Drosophila melanogaster: one gene and its partners. The protein of the gene in region 3 interacts with the protein of the main gene of each other region in a pairwise test. Each region holds a gene or a part of one and is shown on either strand. Other genes may lie near its edges.

Region 1 (3,268 bases), on a different chromosome or scaffold from region 3:
AATGTTGGCGGGAATGGGTAAATATATCTTTAAACCACCGACACGCGTTCTATTCCGTGCTTCCAATTTCAGCGGCCAATCGGCAGACCATGAACCGCCAGCTGGCTAAGATAGACGAGATAATGGAGCGGTCGAACAACACATTGCTCCACATCGAGTCCAACAGCAAGGCATTCAGTCAGAATGTGGCTTTGTCGGAGACCCAGAAGATGTACAACCTCAGGCCGGAGGCTGAGATGACCCTGTCCAAGATCCTGGAGAACTTCAAGCTGCTCATGTCTAGCAGTGACCAGCGGGAGGAGACATACAGCGCTCTGGAGGGCTGCCTGGCCTACAGGCATCGCGTGGAGCACCTTGGCAGCTCCGTGCGTAAGCTGGTGGCGCTCTACGACACCGTGGGCCAGATGAAGAACTCACAGGAAGAGCAGTATGCCAGCGAGGATTCCCCCTAGCTCATCCATTTTTAGAATTTATTATTATGTTATAGTTGAAAAATAATTTAAATAAATTAAACATTTGATTTGTATTTAAAGCTCTTTAAGCGAGGTTTTCAAATCATGGCCATATTGTAGCTGCTGACTTGGAGAAGCGTATAGGTAAGCACCTCTACGAACATCTCCAGGCGAGCGGCAAGACTCCCGGTGGCGAGTATCTCATTGGGATTGGGCAGCTGGAGGCTGTTGGAGCGCAGGTAGTTGAGCTGTTCCATATTGGCGGCTATGGTCAGAAGCTTCTCCTGCTGCTCGGATGTAAAAGCATCTGGCGGAGACTCACCGCCGGTTGGCATGAGCTTTTCCAGCTGCTGCGCAAATCCATGGAGCTGCGTCAGCTTCTGCTTGTATATGGATTCTGTGGTGTCCAGAGCGGCTGCCTCGTCGTAGATCTTGGCCAGCTTTCGCTGGAAACCCTTAAAATCATTGTACACGTCCACGGCACTGCGCTGCTCCTCCAGACGCGTCAGACTCAGCGAAACGTTGGATGTGTTGATGCCCATGGCCACCGACTCGTCTGCTCCTCGCAGGAGCGTTGAGTTGGTACGTTGTAGCTCCCGCTTCTTGGGCATTTTCTGCAGGTTGGCCGGGTACTCTTCCAAGGTCTTGAAGAGCTCCGCATAGTCGGCTACCGAGCTAAGATCCCTCGGGGGCGTAGTGGCTGCTGCCTCCTCCTCCATCATCTGCTGCAGGCTGTCAAAGAAGGCCCCCGGTTTCATCACCGTCTTGGATACGCACACGTCCTTTAGGTTTCTCACATGTTGCGCGTACTTTCTGTACAACTTGGATGAAATGCTGCTGAAATCTACATTAGTTTCCATTTTTATTGTTTACGCTTCACTTCTCCTTTGATAACTTCGTTTGAATGGCCTGCGCCGCATCTATCGGAAATCGATAACGCAAGCTGTGGCGGTTTAAATTTGAAAACAAAAGTTCTATACAAATTATGATCGCTTACGGATTACTTGGGTTTTTATTTTTAAAAGCACAATTTTTAGAGTGCACTACACGTATTTCAAGTCTTCAGTGGTTTTAACGAGATCTTAATAGGGAGTTTATACCATATGAAAGTTTGGACTAACATGGCTGTTTGAATTCTGAGTCTCAGAACTACAAGGTGCATCTCATCCATACTCGGACTGAACGGTGAGCGAAAACTGACCCTTGGGAATTGAATTGGCATGGTACCAGATGCGTGTGTCCACCAACACAGCATCTCCGGGCTCCACATAGAAGGAGAAGGGCTGACACTGGTGGTCACATTCAGGAGCAGGTGCCAGAAACCAGGTCTTGTTGCCACTTAACTGAGCTTGCCACAACAGGCGGGGAATGTAATCAAGCTATAATAATTGAAAGATTAGTCATAATATTCGTTGATTTCTTGGTTTTTACTTACATGCATCACAGCCCCTTGCTCGTAGCCCATTAATATGAAGTCCGTGTGAGGCATTTCAGCATCGAAGGGCAGGAAATGCGGGCGGGGATACAGCTTTCTGAGCTCCGCCAGGACGGCCGGCTGGCAGACACTCCAGCCCACGAACCAGGGCACTCCTTGAGTAAGATTTGAACGCTCCGCGGACATGGAAAACACATGCTTCAGCGACTTGAGATCAGAGTTGAAGTGCAGAAACTGGCAATCTGAGTCCATTGCTCCCGGGACACTTTCGTACAATTCTTTTATGAAGGCAAAGCTGAGGTTCTTTTGTGCTGGCCAGTGAGCCACCGCCCTCTTCACAATGATGGGCATTGAGGAGTACGCGTGCGGTGCAAACTCCTCCATGGTGAGATTGGCCAAGATCAGGGGAGCCCTCACCCCTTTACAAAACTCGCAGTCACTAATGGGCCTGGTGGCCTCCCATACCAAGTAGTTGTTGGGCAGAAAGCAACGCACTCCGAGCAGGAACGAGATGGTCTCATAAAAGACCGGGGTGGCCACCATGATGAAGAACACGATGCCCAGCAGCCAGAGCAGATTCAACCGGTTCGGGTTGTGGTCCATGTCGCGCGTTTTGCGGAATGCCTCCTCCAGCTCCTGTGTGGACACCAGACCAGTCCGCATCACATTACGATGCAGAGCGTCCAGTTGATCAGCTAAGTCCGGACCCAAGCGCTCCCGAACCGCCTGCATTCGGTTGCCCAGCGTCCGCGTGGGACGGCTGATGAACTGGACCGTTCAGCCCTTTATTATTTTGCATTTCTTCAGTACTTATTATTCCTCACCAGAAACATTTCCAATTGATAGTCCTTCCCCTTTGTTTTGCTTCCAAACAGCTGAGAACGATAGGCTCATGGCGCGAGCTCTTTTGCCTATCGACTACAGAGTTGTCAGGGCTTCATAATTTACCAAATATTTCGTTTTGGTAGTTTAGATATTTACAACTTAAAATGTTAATAGGGCTGTAAATGATGTGCGGGTATAAGTATTGCTTTCACTTATATTGTCAAAAATATTTAAGTAATTTTTAACATTTATACACTGAACTAATTTTAGTCACGCTTAGTATTTTTTCTGGCTTCAGTCACAAACTGTGCCCATGCACTCGCCAGCCCTGTCAGCCGTTCTTCGTATATTTTAACGGTTCGCCCGCGGTCACACTTGTCATTCACTTTTCGCTCTTTGCTCGGTCGTAGTATCGGCCAGCAGCTAAAAATTTGGAAAGATCGTTCGGGCTGGGATTTTCTGCTGATTAGTACAAAGCCAACGTGACAATAACTCAAAAATGTGTCTTGAATAGTGCGTGCATTTACGTTTTCATTCATCTTTTATCGTTCATCCG
Region 2 (4,387 bases), on a different chromosome or scaffold from region 3:
TTTTATGCACCTGGCAGGTAAAAGTTTTTGCACCGATTTTGACGATAGTCTGGACCGTAGTTTTATGGCGAGCAAGCTGCAATTGGCGGGATTACGGCGTCATTACAGGTAAATTCAGTTGGCGTCCCTTTTTGTCTTTGGCGGCCATTCCGTTATTCGTCTGCGGCAAGACTGGCAACCCTTGTGTTAAGGGAGGATTTTCGGAATCTCATGATCAGCTGTTCGGGGAAATACCATTACTTTAACTGCAGCGTAGTTTGTTCAAACCTATTATTTCAGGATTATTTCATTCAAAACTATTTAACCCGATGATCAGTTCTGTGTTTTCCAAGTAAGGTTTAATAATATCGATAAATGATGAAAATAATAAGTTCTTAAAGAAATTCTAGTCTTTTTGTTAAAAAGTCATATTTTAATAAAAAGCTGCCTTTCCCGTGTATGATTTAAATAAAATATTACCAAGAGTACGATCTGAAATGCAAAAAACCTGTGTGGGAACCATTTAAGTTTACAACCAATTACCAAGCGCTTGCAATTGTTTTGAACATGCTATTTAATCGTTGATTTCCTTTGATGCTTTGTAGAATTACAAAAATAAATATAAAAACTTGTACATATGTAAGTGTTAGTTACCTCTACTGTAGGAAATGCAATACACCTTTTATCGAAATTTTAAAAATATATATATGCCAGATATTTAGTTTCTTGTCTTTTATGCTCTGTGTATGTTAGTTTCTTGTTTTACGTACACCGTTTTCTGGAGGGCGAGGGCAGTTTGTAAAACTATGCTCAACTTAACATATATACGCAAAGGGTGCACATTCATTTGGAATTGCAAATACCATAAAGATCAAATTTTGAGTTCGCTTAAGCTCGCTAGAGTGGCGCAGCCTTCGAGGCAGCTGATTGAACTGATAGATATTAAAGCACATAATCGGGGGGGAAGGCAACCGAATTAGCCACTTACACTAGGTGGCGATGGGACCGTAGCAGAGGGATCGGAATCGTATAATTAAATAAATAACGCTAGAGTACGCCTAATTGGTTTAGATCCATGTGCTAGGTTTTGATTTGTGTGTGTCCGTTTTTGTTACTCCATCGCTTTTGAGTGTATCTTGTGTGGGAGTGTGGAACGAAAGCTGGAGCTTGGGTAATCGAGAGTGTGGGATGGACTGCCCGTAGTTAGTCATCCAGATCTATATCGGAGTCATCCGAGTCGTAGCCTCCACGTATTGTCTTCTGTGGGCGGTTGATGAATGGTTTGCGTTTCACATCTGGTGGCTGCATCAGATCGCCCTTGTAGTCAATGGCCCCCGAGTGGGCGATGCGCCACTCCAGCATTTCGGTGGCGAAGTCGTCGCAGTTGCCCAGATCGGTGAATCCGACAATGAAGTCCTTGGTCTTGCTGTCCTTCACCAGGGCGATGGTGGGTATCACCTTGATGCGCAGTCGCTGGGTGAGGAATGGAGTCTTTTCGGCATTCACCTTGCAAAACTTGGCCTCCACGTGCTTGGCCGCGAGGATCTTCAGGTGCATGTCCACGATCTTGCAGCGCTCGGTGCTGTCGCGGTAAAAGTGGCAAACAATGTTGGGCGACTTTTTCGACATCTCGAAGAACTCTTTTTCGTCGGCCAGCTCGGTGTAGGTGCCATGACCCTGGAAAAGATTAGCAATTTTGGGGATTAATGAGATTGTTGCGCTAACAAGGTTTTCTTTGAAAGTTAATTTTTACATATATATTTAAGTTTTGAGCTATTTAAGCTGGTAGCCCAATTTGAAAACTAATTTGAATTAATCGAAGCAAGTGTCGCGAATGTCTTAAAAGTCGCATGTTGAATACCATTTGGTCATATACCACTTAGAGAACAATCTCGAAGTATCTTCAATAATTGAGTGTTGTAAGAGATGATCACCTACGTTTCTGAGCCACTCCTGCTTCTTGTTGTTCAGGTCCTTCATTTCGCGGAGCCGCTGCTCCCGCAGGACCTTTAGGTCATCCGAATCGAGGTTGTCCAGGCGGTCGAGCTGCTGGTCCAGCTGCTGCTCGATGGTCTTGGCGGCCGTGAACAGTTGGTTCTCCAGGATGTTGGCCATGTTGTCCTCTTCCAGTTGCTGCTCCTCTGCGTGTCTTGATGTTTCTCCGTTATTTGCACTCTGCGTGTGGTGTGTTCGTGTTGGCGTCAATGGTTGCGCGTGTGTGCGTGTGGATCCGGCACAAATGGAAAGGCGTAGTCATGGAGCCGCAGATGCGTCATGTTTTGTGGAAAATTCAGTTAAGTAAGGCATGTTTTGGGGAAAGCGCAGCGCATTTCGATGGAGGCGCCCACAAATCGATTATTTAGACGGTACTCACCTTTTATTTTCACTTATTTCATTGATTTTACTCCTTAAAAGTTTATTTAGACGTATGGATTCGTGTGACCGTTTGACTTTACATTGGAAAATACAAAAGGCTCCTTAATGTTCAAAATACCATGACAGTATTATTTCCCGTCAGCTGTTTCTTTACGAACCCCTGGCCACACTGCCGCCCTTTGATGGTTATTCCGATAGTGCAATATATTTAGTTGATCAAAGGTGAATTAAAGATGAAGCCAGCCTTGACAACGGTCAATGCCACTGGCAAACACACAGCCTCCGTGATATTCTTCCACGGATCCGGCGACACCGGCCCCAATGTTCTGGAATGGGTGCGCTTCCTTATCGGCCGGAATCTGGAGTACCCGCACATAAAGATAATATATCCCACGGCTCCCAAACAGAAGTACACCCCGCTGGACGGGGAACTATCCAACGTGTGGTTTGACCGCAAGTCCGTGAACATTGCCGCATCGGAAAGCAAGAAGAGCATGTCCCAGTGTTATGATGCGGTCAATCAGCTGATCGACGAGGAGGTGGCCAGCGGCATACCGCTGAACAGGATCGTTGTGGGCGGATTCTCGATGGGCGGAGCCTTGGCTCTGCACACGGGCTACCATTTGAGACGCAGCTTGGCCGGCGTATTCGCACATTCCTCGTTCCTGAACCGCGGCTCCGTTGTCTATGATTCCCTGGCCAACGGCAAAGACGAATCTTTTCCCGAGCTGCGAATGTATCACGGGGAACGCGATACTCTGGTACCTAAGGACTGGGGTCTGGAAACCTTCGAGAACCTAACGAAACTGGGTGTCAAGGGCACATTTCATCCATTGAGGAACACACTGCACGAACTGAAAACTGCCTCCATCACGGATCTGCAGCAATGGATTTATGAAAAACTACCTCCGCTGGAAAACCAAGTACAGAACAAACTCTGAGTGGCAAGTACTTACATATACTTAGGTAAACTTTAATAGTAATTTATTTATTCTTCTATTTCAGTATTTGGCATGAAACCCGTGCATTTTGAAGCACCACAGAGGCAAGTCTTTCCACCTGTCATCTTTTTATACTGCCCTTCTCCGCCATAATGAAAGCATAACTCCTCCTTGGCCGCAATATCCCTTGCTGCGAAAATACCTAAAAAATTACACATGACGAGAGAAGTCGGATCAGAATTAGCAATAAAACTTGCCTATTTTTGGTATGGGACAGTCTATTCGTACAGCTGCTATATGACAGTTCGGTTCGCAGCTGTGGTTCAGGTAGCGTCCGATGTTTCCACGTCTTGATGGATCAACGATGGTCACCTGTTGCTTCTTGTCGCTAGTGTATTCATTAAGCACCAGGATATAGTTCATCAGGCCTAGTTTTTCATTATCATGCAAGCGGCTTCTTGCCTCGGGAACCGTTAAAAGTTCTCCGGCATATTCGCAAATGTATCCTCCTTTTGTAATTTTCGCTGTAGTCCGTAGTCCTTTGGATCCGTACACGGGCGAATCGAATATTTCCAAATGTTTCCTCGGGCCTGAGTACACAAGCCGATTGGAGCACGTGTTTCTACAGCATTTGCACATGTCATTGCACTCAATGACAGGATTTGCGGAATTCCGAAGAATTAATTCGCTGCCATCTTCTGTGAACTCATATTGGCCTCCATGTGCACAGACTTCGCTGTTTTCGCAGGCTCCTTTGCAGTGACAGGGGTTCAAAAGAACAGAATTGTACTCGTCCGCCAAGAATTTGAATTCTTTACTTCCATCGCTGGGCATCAACACAGATTCCAATATGTAATCGAGTCCATCTGGGTGCTCATAGTCGTCATTCGGAGCTGTTTCAGATTCGTCCATTTTTAAAGTTTGTTTACATTACATTCTAGTACGAGAATTGATTCCCCATTTAATGGATGTTGCGCTTTCTGAAGAATATTACACTTTATTGCCTCGGTCACACTCTGAATTTAAAAATGTTCCCTTATTCGGAAGAAAATTGTTTATTTTTTATGATGCAACACATTTGTATATCCTTG
Region 3 (4,984 bases):
TGCCACACTTTGCCAGACATGCAGCCATATGCTCCGGCTACTGCACTCCTGGTCCGTCGATATGTTCAAGGATTTTTTCATGCTTCCAGGCATGCCGATGACGTATGTTGCGTCCTGCTCTAAAATTTGAGCTCAGAGTTACCTCAGGAAATTGCTGTATAGGGAATGTAGGAATCTAACTTTGAGTGGGAAAATCAGGAAATTTTGAAATTAGGTTCGATCATGATTGGAGAAAAATGATGTTGTATGCAGGCAGTTCAAAAATTGGTTAAGTGTAAATATGAATAGCCCAATATATCCCGTCCGCAACTTAATGCATTAAAATTAACTTTATACCCAATTCTACCGATATTCCTGAAAAATGTTAAATTCTCGTTCCCACTTAGACTAACTGTGTAACGGGTCGGTGAACTTAACTATATCGTTCTCTCTTGTTTTTTTTTTATGATGTACGTCTTTATAAGATCCCACAGTGTAACCTTTGGTGAGAGTAACTTAAATATTTCCTATTATTTATTGTACCACTCTGCGCCTTTGCGGTTTTAAAATTGTTGACATAAAGTAAATCGATTAAAGTCCACATTTGTAGAGCCAATGCAATCAAAATTTTAGCGAATCAGATTAAAGCCATTACTTCAATTCTTCAATTTAAGTAGTACTTTTTTTCTCTTTTGTCCCACTGTATTACATCTAATTTAACTGTCTAATGTCTAATAAAATCAAGGCTAAATAGTTGTGGCTAAATTGTGATGGAAATCTGAAATGGTTTAAATTCTATAGGTTGGATTTTCCAAACCAAAATTAGACACCGGACATAAGAAGTAGAAGGGAAAACCGCAGAGTGAACTCAAATATGTATTCTGCTCCGGAAACGCCGAGTCTAACTCTATCCACCACTCAATTCGCGGAATGATTTCCCCAAAACCACCACTCCATCGTGGCCCCGCTCCACCCGCACACGTTCACACATACATAGTACACCCTCTCAAAGCGACTCCATGGCGAGGCAACAAACGAACAAACAAACAAGCACGCAGCGCAGACAAACAGACTGACGTACGTGGGCCTGAGAAATTCACACTCAGTTGAAACGGAACGAAATCGGAGGTCGAGTGACTGGCAACGCGATAAATCTCATGGGTTGCTGGCTGCGGAGCCTGGCCGCCTGTTCGTTAGAGTCCATGAATCGAAATTGTGTGGCTCAAGTGACGACGGTGTCTTTTTCGACTTCGTTCTCCCGTTCGATGCCTTAATTCAAAAATTAGTGTTGGTTACGTTGCACTCGCTTCAATTGACGAGTGCGATACTCGCATGAAGATGATACTTTCCGTCTGGGAAATAACTTGTTTTTAATATCTGTCGGTAGGTAGGACATACTTGGAAAACAAAAACATTATATGTACTTGCTGCTCAAAAGTTGAGTTTGGGGCGGAGCTAGTACCGACTCCGGGCTCGGGTTCTTTGCTTTCGTCTTTTTCGCTCCGCCGGCGCTTCTGATTCGAACAACTAGAGCAGTGAGCAGCATCATTTAGATTTAGACCGGAATTGTAACAGGCGCACAGCGCCGATAGACCGGTTCATCGACTCGCCGCGATTATTCTCGCCCTCTAACTGTCCCGCTCTGCCGGAGCTCGGGTTGTCTCGCTCGCCCGCGGTGAGCTTTCGGATGGAGCTTTGCGGTTAAGGGCCAATTTTGAAGGCAATTTTGTAATCCAAAAATTTCAAATTTGAGTTCTTTTTTTCTCTTTCGCTGTTTTACTTTTCTCCTGTAAACAAAAGAATTATTGTGCATTTTTATAGAAAGTTTTTGTAAGCGTTAATGTGAAATAATTGTGTTTGGTATTTTTTCTGTTTTTTTTGTTGAATACTCAAAAAGTTGCTCTTACAATTGAATTTACTTATAATGTCGATTAAGTGCGCGCTCGTATCGATAGTTTAGCTTCTATCGATTACCCAATGACAGATATTGCACAATTGCAGCCCAACGCTTAAATCAGCTGGCTCTGCTCGGCTGAGTTTGGCAGAAATCAAAAATTCTAATTTCTCTCTAACCGACACAAGACAAGCAGCAGACAACTGGAATAGTGAAGGGGAATCTTTCAGGCATTGATTGAACACATCGCGGTTTCTTTAGACTCGTTACGCCTTTGGAAAATGCTACCAAGTCCACTGGCGTTGCAAAATTCTGCGATAAAAACAACAAAGAAGCGACGTCTGAAATAGGAGCAACAAAAAAAACGAAATAATCAATTAAAATCAAAGTGAAAGCGAGTGTTTTTCGCGGAGTGTCTATAACGTTAAACAGTTCATCAGGATTCCGATTGCTACAAAGGACAAAACCAAAAGTTGCGTGAACAGCTGCAACAGCTGCGTGGGCAGCGACGCGGCAGAGACGCCGGCATAAGCTGCGCAGCAACAGCAAAAACAACAAGCTTTTCGGTCTTTTTCTGTTTTCTTTCCAACAATGGAAATGCGTGAGGTCTTGAGTCGCGAGGGCAGAGAGGCGAAAAATCTGCTCGTCTACCAGTTTTGCGATGAGACAACCTCAAGTGGTGCTACCAGTGGTTTCGGATCCACGGGCGGCGACGTTGGAGGAGGATCAGGTGGCGATGGACCAGCTGTTGGAAGCGGAGGCGTTCTTTTAAACGGTGACTGTAAGAACCATCAACTGTTGCTATTGAATATCCGGTACTTGAGGAGTTTTTCTCTTAGTTATAAAATTACTTTTAGGAAGAGACTCATGTAAAATGCTTAGTCATTACATGATAGTGGCAACTATTGTCTAAAAAATTGCTTATAATATATATAACGTATGTTGTATAAATTAGTAGGCTTAATTTGTTTTAAAATGGTTAATTTAGGTATTCCTCATGTCATAACCTTATGAAAACGTTACAATTACCGAGTGTTCGACTTTTAGCAAATATGATATTTTATTTGAAATTCCCATTAATAACTTAAATCTTTTGTAGGCTATCGAAAGCCACCCATGGTGCCACCGAAGTCGCCCAACGGCACGCCCAAAAACTGTCAATCGCCCACTTCCCCACGTCTGAAATCCTCTGCCAGTGTAGGATGCGGCGGAGGCAGTAGTGGTGGGCCACGCGTGCGCAGCGCCTCCACAGGAAGGGACAAGAAGTCGGAGCTGCAGGCCAGATACTGGGCCTTGCTATTCGGAAATTTGCAGAGAGCTATTAATGAGATTTATCAGACAGTGGAGTGCTATGAAAACATTTCCAGTTGCCAAGAGACTATTTTGGTGCTTGAAAACTATGTGCGAGATTTTAAGGCGCTTTGCGAATGGTTCAAAGTGTCGTGGGACTATGAATCTCGACCACTACAACAGCGTCCCCAAAGCCTGGCTTGGGAAGTGCGCAAGAGCAATCCCACTCCCAGAGTTCGGACTAGAAGTCTCTGCAGCCCCAACAACTCGGGCAAATCCAGTCCAGCCTTGTTTCCGGGTACTCAATCCGGAGAAACCTCACCGTTCTGTGATAATGGACAGATTTCGCCCAGGAAATTACTGCGTGCCTATGACCAAGTGCCAAAGGGAGCAATGCGACTGAATGTCAGAGAACTTTTTGCAGCCAGCAAGAGAGCTACTCAAGGATCATCTCAATCTGATAACATGGAGGGTCCTCTAGATTTAAGTGGCGACAAATCTAATTTCGTGTTGCGCAGCACGCAGTATGCCCAAACGGATTTGGAGGATCCACATCTAACTCTGGCGGATGTCAGGGAGAAAATGCGCATGGAGGCGGAGGAAAGAGAAGCTCAAAATAGAATTGAAAATGAGGCTTTAGAAGAAGTGACCATTCCAATAGACAATGAAGACGCAACGGAAAGCTTAAACAAACAAGAGCCATCTTCGCTCGAACTACCAATTCATAACGTAGCGGATTTAAGCAAAGAACCTGAATTAATGGAAGCAGCTTCAGAAGCAACTGCTCTAGAGATGACTGTGGCTTCTCTGGAGTCTATGGAAAACGCCTTACTTAATCAGCAGGCAAATAAGGAGCCCACGCCGCCAAGCACTGTCATTAAACCACTTGCGGAAATTTTGAAGAAACCACAACCCTTAAATCCTTTATCAGGAAACAATGTTCAAAACAGTCCCCTTAAGTATTCCAGTGTGCTAAATCGTCCTTCGAAGAAGATGATTCCACCACCTGGAGGAGTAGCAGCTCAGAAGACCATATCAACCAAACCGGGTCTGGTAAAACCGAATTTAACGACTACAGTCAATGGTTTACGTAGCACCAAAACAGCTACAGCTCCTCCTGCAATAAAAACAACTGGAAGAAGTGGATTACAGCGACATCCCAGGCCCTCCAGCAAAACCGAGTGCTATGGTCCACCCAACAATGTGGCATCTAGATTGTCGGCACGCTCCCGAACCATGTTGGAAATAAATGGAAGAAACACCAATTCAAGTGCTAGAACTTTACCGAAGAAAACTAATCCAGGTTCCATTTTAAGCACGGCCACACGAACTAAAATGAGTTCCAGACTAAGTTCTAGAGAGGATATAACTAGTTCCACATCCACTCTGAAAGCTAGCAATGAACAACTTTCAAATTCAAGAAACACTTTGAAGGCGGAGAATCAACATTCCGAACCAAAACAGATTCAACCTCCGACTGATGCTGACGATGGATGGTTGACTGTAAAAAACCGAAGAAGGACCAGCATGCATTGGGCAAACAGATTCAATCAGCCCACAGGCTATGCCAGTTTGCCGACGTTGGCGTTGTTGAACGAGCAGCAAAAGGAGCAGGAGCACAAAGAAAAGCAGAAAGGCGAAGACGACGGCAAAGTTATCGTCAAAACAATATCGGCTAAAACTAAAGCTCCAATCGAAGTGGCTAAGGCTAAAGCGAAGACATCAATAGTCATAACGCGACCAGAAATCAAAAATGCCAAAGCTAAGGTTAATTCATTTCCCGTTCAGAAAAGCAACACTAATCAAGTGAAGAAACCAGAG

The links.
Region 1: the proteins of ssp3 (region 3) and msd5 interact in a two-hybrid assay, tested with the Drosophila melanogaster proteins (one large-scale study listed by BioGRID).
Region 2: the proteins of ssp3 (region 3) and CG4511 interact in a two-hybrid assay, tested with the Drosophila melanogaster proteins (one large-scale study listed by BioGRID).

Annotation. Positions count from the first base shown.
Region 1 is NT_037436.4:1,331,802-1,335,069, forward strand, and holds msd5 (mitotic spindle density 5), read right to left. Parts: upstream 1,346-3,268; 5' UTR 1,313-1,345; coding exon 551-1,312; 3' UTR 506-550; downstream 1-505. Other genes in the region: msd1 (mitotic spindle density 1), read left to right, coding at 1-17, 73-452; CG2211 (uncharacterized protein), read right to left, coding at 1,616-1,831, 1,888-2,655, 2,712-2,720.
Region 2 is NT_033777.3:10,852,563-10,856,949, reverse strand, and holds CG4511 (uncharacterized protein), read right to left. Parts: upstream 2,450-4,387; 5' UTR 2,354-2,449; intron 2,206-2,353; exon of another isoform or gene 2,155-2,205; 5' UTR 2,095-2,154; coding exon 1,918-2,094; intron 1,657-1,917; coding exon 1,183-1,656; 3' UTR 538-1,182; downstream 1-537. Other genes in the region: CG6567 (uncharacterized protein), read left to right, coding at 2,589-3,296; CG4565 (uncharacterized protein), read right to left, coding at 3,344-3,498, 3,554-4,208. UniProt on the Drosophila melanogaster protein: Has redox activity with thioredoxin. Required for male fertility and maturation of sperm past the canoe stage during spermiogenesis.
Region 3 is NT_033779.5:18,940,947-18,945,930, reverse strand, and holds the start of ssp3 (short spindle 3), read left to right. Parts: upstream 1-1,970; 5' UTR 1,971-2,464; coding exon 2,465-2,654; intron 2,655-2,972; coding exon 2,973-4,984.